2 linked regions of the Lonchura striata genome follow. The protein of the gene in region 2 interacts with the protein of the main gene of each other region in a biochemical or structural test. Links are inferred from orthologs where the notes say so. Each region holds a gene or a part of one and is shown on either strand. Other genes may lie near its edges.

Region 1 (3,901 bases), on a different chromosome or scaffold from region 2:
GGGGGGGCCGAGATGCAGCCGTAGCCATGGCGACGTGAGCCGGATGCGGGGCCGGGGGATGCTGCTCCCGCCCGCCCGCCGCAGGTCGGTACCGCCGCTCCGCGACCGGGGCCGGGGGCGGCCGGGGGGCCCGAGGGGGTCGGGGGAGGCTCCGAGGGGGCGGCAGGTCGAGCGGGAAGGGGGACGTCGCCATAGTGGGGTTGGGCTTGGGGGACCCCCAGCGCTGATGCTGCCAGCCAGCAACAAAGAGGCTGAGGTGCCGGCCCTGGGGAGACCCCCGGGACCCCCCGGTACCCCCCGCACTCCCTGCCTTCACATTCCTCCCTTTCCCCTATCTCCTGGGCACCCCTCCACACCTCCTGCACCCCTCAGCTCCCTCCTGTGCATCCTCCTCTCTCTTACCTGCACCCCCCCCCGGCTCTCCCCACCCTTCCTATCGAACAACCCCATCGACACAATCGTCTCCCATTTCCTCTTGCGTACACCCCCCAGTTCCTCCCCTTCATCCTCCCATGCCTTCAGTGCAACCCCCCTCCTCCCTTGCCTCCCGTCTCCCACACACACACCCTGCTCTGGATCTCGGGGCTTCCCCCAGCCCCCCTTGGGTGCTGGGAGCATTCCTGCACCCCCCACACCACAGGGCTGCTCCTGGATGTGACGTGGGCAGGGGACTGGAGTCCAGCTGCAGAGAAGGACCAAACTCTTCTCTGCGGTGGGAAATTGAGGCACGGGGAATGTCTGAGCAGCTGGCAGATCAGTGCCACCAGCTCCACACTCCCCTGCTCACCTTGCAAGGGCTGGGCCTGGCTCCATCCTGTGGCAGGTGATGTGCTCTTTGCAGGGAGTGTGCGTGTTCATTGACAGCACAATATTCCCTGGCTTAGAGGGAATCCTCCAGGAGGAGACCCAAGCAGGAGCAACACCCATGAAGCCACAGCTGTGGTCAACCTGAAAGCACCAGGGAAACCTGACCCACCGCAGTGTTGAGACCCTCGGTGGGACTCCCTCCCATGTTCCAAATCTTATATAGGGAGGCTGTAAATTACATTCCCCCCACCATGTCCCCAGAGCACTGTGACCAGGGGACCCAAAAAAGAGGAGAGACCAGGCTGAGAAGGGATTCTGCCTTCCCACGCTGTCAGAGCAGCCGTGAGGCTGCTGTCACCTCACATCCTGTGTCAGCCCTGGCTCACGCTGGCGGTTTTCCTCAGCCCCACCACAGCCCCAGTCAAGCCTTCAGCCTCACCGAGGAGCCTCTGCTCCCGTTTCTATCCCGCCTCCCCCTCCGCGGCCTCGGTGGCTATGGCCCAGGGCAGAACAATGCGGCCGGTCCAAGGCTCCGTGCGGCCCCGTCCCCCAGGCAGCCCTTTGCCAAGTGGGAAATCCGGGGCAGAGTAACCTACTTTCTGTGCTCACAAGGAGCTTCTGTCCCAGCCAAGCAAGGTGGTGAGCACAGCGCTGCCCTCCCGGGGCTCCATGTCCCGCTGGGCTGCTCTGGGGATGGGAGAGGCAGGTAAGGAGGCCCCAGCAGGGTGGGATGCTCCTCAGCCTTGTCCAGAGGGATATTGGGGTACCTCAGGTATGGCTCTCATGTTGAGGAACTCCAGGGCTTTGGCTTTGGGGGGGTTTCTTGCCTACAGCCATCCCAGAGCAGCCTGGGGTTAAGGATGGACTCTCCAGGTAAATGGGTTCCTGGAACAGCTGCAGGAGCTTTGTGGGGGTGCCCCGTGGGGCTGTTTGTGGGGAGCCATGCTCTGCCCTGGGGGGCTGGTTTTTTGGGTGATGCCTGCCCCCCTGGGGCTGGTTTTGGGGATGATACTCAGGCCTGCCGTTGGCCCATAGAATCCACAGGAAAAATGCCATTGTGTCCCTCACCCCAAAGATTTCCCCAGCAAGCAAAGCCAGGCATCTGGGCACACCTTTGTCCCCCACGTCGCCCCTTGGAGGAGCAGAGCTCCCTGGTTCCCATGCCAGCTGCCTCCGCCAGGCTTCGCTGCTGTCCCTGCGGGGGTGCGAGGCAGGGGAGGCGGGCGCAGGCACCCACTGCCCCAACCTGCCGGGGCTCGTCCTCTTCCAGCAGGACTTTCAGGTTCCCGCAGTCCCGGCGGAGCCAGGCAGGGCTGGGCTGGGCCGGGCTGCAGCGAGCCCCGCACGAGCCGGGCTGGGAGCTCGGCAGCCCGGCCGCGGCTGCCGATCGGGACATGGGCCCACGGGAGACGCGTGGCCGCAGCCCCCGCGGCTCGGGCGCCTGCCTGGTGCCCGTGCTCCAGCGGGGGAGGTGAGCGGCCCGGTCCTCGCCCGCCAGAGAGGTAATGCCGCCCGCTGGGGACACGGTGGCCAGCAGCAAAGGGGCCTGGGGACCGTGAGGTTCTGCAGACGGGGCTCTTCCCCCAGGGCTGCTGGCATCAGCTGCAGAAAGAGCTGCAGGAAGGGGCTTCCCGTGCGTGTTCCCCCCATTTTGTGGACGCTCTGATAACTGGTGGAGCGAACAGAGGAATCCCTGGTGGGGATGGGCTCTGAGGCTCTTGGGCCAAAGCCTCTGCACACTGTGCCGAGGTCCCGTGCAGGAGCCCAGAGGGTGAGGGTGAAACAAGGGGAAACCTCTGACTGTGCCAGAGACTGTGGGCAGGAGCCCCGCAGGGCGAGGGGACATCTCTGAGTGCCGATGCAGCAGTGGGAAGTTCGTGCCCAAACTGGGGGGGTCAGTGGGGCTCGAGGTGCTGAGGGCCCCCCATCCCCCACCTCCTTGCCGGGTGCTGCTTCCCCGTCTCGTTTCCGCCGGGTGCAGTGACACGCAGCCCGGCAGCGTGTGCCCTCACCCTCGGCCTCTCCGCAGGGATGGTGGTGGGACCCTCCTGGGGCGCATCCCTGCCGCCCCCCGCCATGCCCGCCGCCCTCCGCCTGCTCTGCGGGGTGGTGGTGCCGGCTGCCCTGCTCTGCGCAGAGCCCCTGCCCCGCGTCACCTTCCCCAGCGGTGAGTACGGCCCCGGGAAGGGCTGGGACAGCGCGGGAGGGGGGTACACAGCCTCTGCTGGGAGGGCGGCCATCCCCAGGGCTGAGCATCCGGCAGCAGGAACCTTGGCGTGCTCCCCATCATATCCCCAGCCCGCCCCATCACTGACCCTCCCGTGGGGCTGGAGACAGCGCCAGTGCCCGCGGGGGATGTGATGGGGGACGAGAGTAGATGAGGCTGCTTGGCACCCCAGCACCCAATGGGCCAGATCCTACAGTGATTTTGTCACCCTGCTGGCACCCAGGGTCTGCTCACGGTCACCCTGGGGGGACGAAAAGCTGCCTCTGGAAGGGACAGGGCACGGCATGTCCAGCTGGAAGGCAAAGCAGGAGATTGGAGGGGCTGTGATGTGGCAATCAGGCTGCAAGAGGGTCTGTGTGCCATGGCAGGGTCAAGCCTTTCCAGCCCTGACTGCACTGTCACTTCCTTTTCCCCACGCAGCTGTGCCCAAAATTGCAAAAACCCTCTGGTTTTGGTGTTTGCTGGGGATGAATGAGAACCTGCAGTCCCTGGCTGTGCCTGAGGGCACCCTGGGGGCTGGTGATGCCCCCCAGCCTGGCACCCTGGGGCTTGAAATCCCTCCAAGGTGGCACCCTGGGGCAGTGCATCCCCCAAACAGAGCACTACCCTTGGCCATGGTACCAAAGCATCACAGGCACAGCTTGGGGGGGAAATGTCCCCCATTTCTGGAGGTCTGCAGCTTGGGGATGCTCAGCTCTTGCAGTAGGAGCTGGAGGGGACAGTGGGAGGGGGGAACCTGGAGGGTGAAGGGGTGATGGTGATGTGGGTGCTGAAGGGGAAGAACTGCACCCCATTTCCTGTGTGGGATGAGCCTCAATGGCAGCTGCTGCCACATCCGCACGCCAATGATGGTGGTGGGGTGTGTGT
Region 2 (3,901 bases):
TCGTGGAAACCAAGGCTGGAGACAAGGATGCTATGCCCACATCTCACAGCCACTCCTCTTGCCTGTTAGCTCTGCCAATGCTTCTGTTTGAAGCATGCACATAATGCTGAGCATGTCGTGACCTTGGTATTTGCCATGTGCTGCAGCACACCCATGTCCCCTCCTGCATCGGGACCTGGGTGTGCTGCCCGGGGAGTCAAGCCCCTGGGCGACCTATGGCTGTGCCCTGTGTCACGATACTGTGGCAGGAGGCCAGCTGGGTAATTAATTGCTCAGGGCTGTTTCATGAAGCCTGCAGGGACATGAGATACATGGGCAAGCAAATATCTGCTGCAGGATGCGCGGCCTGTCTGCCCCATCCCGGGCTGGACCCGGGCTCTCCTTACAGCCTTGCCCAGGAGCGCTCCTCAGCCTCGGACGTGTCTCCTCGCCACGAGGAGCCAGATGACATTCCCGCAGACGGGGAGGAAGGCAGCAGGAGTGAACCCGCTCAGGTGGAGCGATGCCACGGGATGGGGCTGTGGTTCAAGGGCTGTCCCCTACATCATCCCAGTGTGTATAATTTGGGAAATCACTTCTTTGGGTCTTTTTTTGTTAAAGAGGCGCCCGTTGGAGGGCAGAGGAGACGCGCAGTCCGAGCTGTACTTTTGACGAGTGGTGCGGGCAGAGCCGTTGCAGGGGTGGGGCCTCGTCCCCCGCCCGGTCCCCGGGGAGCGAGAGAGCGGGTATTGCGGGGGGATGTGTGGGCTGCGGGGGGTGCGAGGGGGCTCCGGGAGGGGCTGTTCCGGCTCGCCGCGCTGCTCCGCAGCTGGGAAAAGTGCTTCTTCCCCCGCCCCTTCCCCCCCGGCCTGTCCTGGTCGAAAACGCGAAGGAGGCAGAGCAGAGAAGGGGGACAGCCCGGAGCAGCCCCTCAGGCGGCGGGGGGACGCCCTGTCCGAAGCCCCTCTGAGCCGCTCGGTGCCGCCCAGCCGGCGGCGCGGGAGACACCGGTAACTTCACCGCACGCACATGACGGGCCCGCGGCACCGGGACGCGGTGAGTACCGGCGCGGGGGCGGGCGCGGGGGCGGGCGGAGGGCGGGGGCAGGGAAGGGGCGCGGCCGCGCGCCCCGCCGCCCCCCGCCGCCCCCCGCCGCGGCCGCCACTTCCCGCGGGCGTCGCTCGGCGGCGGGCGCTGCCTCCGCAGGAAGCGGCCCCGCGCCCGCCCCTCCCGCGCCCGGCGACGGGCACATGCACTGTGCGGCGCGGCGGCGGGATGGCTCCGGCTCCGCTCCCGGCTCCGGCGGCAGGCGCCGAGCCGCGGCCCCCCGCGCTGCTGCCGCTGCTGCTGCCGCTGCTGCCGCTGCTCCTGCCCGGCCGAGCCGCCGGCCTGGAGGTGCAGCGCAAGTTCCTCTCGCCCACCCTCACCAACAACTTTGCGCTGGACGGCCCCGGCTCCCGCGTTTACCTGGCGGCCGTCAACCGGCTGTTCCAGCTGTCGGGGGGCGAGCTGGCACTGGAGGCGGAGGCGGCGGTGGGGCCGGTGCTGGACAGCCCGCTGTGCCACGCACCGCAGCTGCCGCAGGCCTCCTGTGAGCACCCCAGGGTGCTCACCAACAACTACAACAAGATCCTGCAGCCGGACCCGGAGCAGGGCGTCCTTGTCGTCTGCGGCTCCATCTACCAGGGCCTCTGCCAGCTGCGCAGCATGGCAAACATCTCGGCAGTGGCCGTGCGCTTCCCGCCGGGCGGGAGCGACTCGGTCGCTGTCTTCCCTAGCATGCTGAACGTCGCGGCCAACCACCCCAACGCCTCCACCGTGGGGCTGGTGCTGCGCCGCGGCGGTGGCGGCGGGGCGCGGCTGCTGGTGGCCGCCACCTACACCGGCTTCGGCAGCCCCTTCTTCCCCCGCAACCGCAGCCTGGAGGACCACCGCTTCGAGAACACGCCCGAGATCGCTATCCGTGCCCTCAACGCCCGCGGCGACCTGGCCAAGCTTTTCACCTTCGACATCAACCCCTCCGACGACAACATCCTCAAGATCAAGCAGGGCGACAAGGCGCGGCACAAGCTCAGCTTCGTCCGCGCCTTCTTGCAGCACGGGGCCGCGCCGCCCGCCCGCCGCCCGTACGCCTACCTGGCGCTCAACACTGAGGCTAACGCGGGCGACAAGGAGAGCCCGGCGCACAGCCTGCTGGCCCGCATCTGCCTGGGCGAGCCAGCCGAGGCCACCCTCAACGGCAGCGGCGAGACCAAGAAGCTGACCGAGTCCTACATCCAGCTGGGGCTGCGCTGCGGCGGCGCCGCCGACGCCTTCACCCGCCTCGTCTCCGTCTTCCCGGCGCGGGCGGCTTGGCGCAGCCCCGCTGCCCCTCACGGCCCGGCCCTGGCCCCGCCGCCCCCCGAGGAGCTGCTCTTCGGCGTCTTCGAGCGGGCCGGAGCCGGCGGCGGCCGGGGCCGGCCGCAGTCCGCGCTCTGCGTCTTCCGCTTCGCCGAGATCGAGGAGACGATCCGGGCCGCCCGCAACTCCTGCTTCGTCAGCCCGGCCGCCGGCATGGTTACCGTGCTGGACAGCGTGGTGCAGGGCACCGGCCCGGCCTGCGAGAAAAGAAATATACAGGTACGGCGGGCGGCGGACACCTGCCGGGGCGAGGGGGCGCGGGGAGCCGGTAGCCGGCGGTGGACAGCGGCCGCATCTCGTGTCCCGTCCCGCGGCCGCTGCTGCCTCCACCTCTCCCGAGCTGGAGCGCATCCCCCGCGTCCCCCGGGCGGGCGGCTGAGCCTCATACCCCGCTGCCCTCCCCGGAGACCCTCTCCCCTGCTCGGGGACAGCATCGTTCTCCTAACCTGGTTGCCGGTGCCCCACTTCTCGTGGGTGCCCTGCGCGCCCGGATGTCTGTGGGCATCGCCAGCTCTATGTCCCGTCCCGCGGCGCACAGCCCTGCCAGGGACGGCACACAGGCAGCCTTGGCTCCCCGAGTTCGTGGCAGAAGTTTGCTGTTGTCACAATTTGTTACTGAGTGGCCGTAAATGTTAGCGCGAGACACAGTCGCCTGTTTCCCTTTTCACTAAAAATATATCATGCTTGGGAAAAAAGAGAGGGGAAAAGGGCTGCTTTAACGCTGCATTTTTACCTTCCTTTGGGACGAGTGCACAGCTCAGCTCCATCAAAGATTGTGAAAACATCTGTTTGATTTCAGAGGCGAGATCGAGCATTTGGGCTTGGGCTTCCCTGTGCAATGCCAGTGGCAAAGAGAGAAAGGTTTCCCATGGTAACCGAAGTGTTTAGTGTGGCATCTCTACTCTGTGGTAAAATATGTACTCTTAATGCACTTGGTTCATAGACCTACTCTAGCAAAGTTGAACAGTTTTTCCCTGGTGACAAAGTACAAGCTGCCTGACAGCCAGCAAATCTAGTAGTTGGAGCTAATTCCACAAAGACTGGGTGTGTTAAACACTGGGAGCTCAGTCCTGACATCTTGGCATGGTCACGGCTCTCAGAGGACTCACTGGGAGTCAGGAATCCTATTTACAGGGTGTGAAGGCACCCGTAGTTCTTGTTGGCTGTGGCTGATGCTCAGCATCCTTGCGGAGCAGCCCCTCAGCCCCGGGTGGGATTGAGCTCTCTGCCAAGGCGGGTCAAGCAGCAGCATCGGGGCTAGGGCTGCTGGAGGCACTTGAGGTGAACAAACAGCCTGGCCATAACTGAAACGCAGAGGCAGATGTACCCATCACCCCTAAGCTTCCCCAGGACTCCAGGACTGCTGTGGAGATACAGTTTTTTCTAACTTCTGTTCAGTAAAGAAAATAATCATGACTAACACCAGTCTACTGATGTTGAAAGTATCAAATGCTGTATCTAGTAAGGTATTTAGACAGCTAATTAATGAGTGACTCAAAGGAGACTACGCAAAGATGAGATT

What was found.
Region 1: the proteins of PLXND1 (region 2) and SEMA4A form a complex in vitro, tested with the Homo sapiens proteins (2 studies listed by IntAct, with this or other methods). The link is inferred for Lonchura striata from reciprocal best matches to the Homo sapiens genes PLXND1 and SEMA4A.

The regions. Positions count from the first base shown.
Region 1 is NC_134635.1:1,157,257-1,161,157, reverse strand, and holds the start of SEMA4A (semaphorin-4A), read left to right. Parts: upstream 1-1,437; 5' UTR 1,438-1,476; coding exon 1,477-1,513; intron 1,514-2,836; coding exon 2,837-2,974; intron 2,975-3,901. UniProt on the Homo sapiens protein: Cell surface receptor for PLXNB1, PLXNB2, PLXNB3 and PLXND1 that plays an important role in cell-cell signaling. Regulates glutamatergic and GABAergic synapse development.
Region 2 is NC_134614.1:23,986,757-23,990,657, reverse strand, and holds the start of PLXND1 (plexin-D1), read left to right. Parts: upstream 1-1,254; coding exon 1,255-2,598; intron 2,599-3,901. UniProt on the Homo sapiens protein: Cell surface receptor for SEMA4A and for class 3 semaphorins, such as SEMA3A, SEMA3C and SEMA3E. Plays an important role in cell-cell signaling, and in regulating the migration of a wide spectrum of cell types.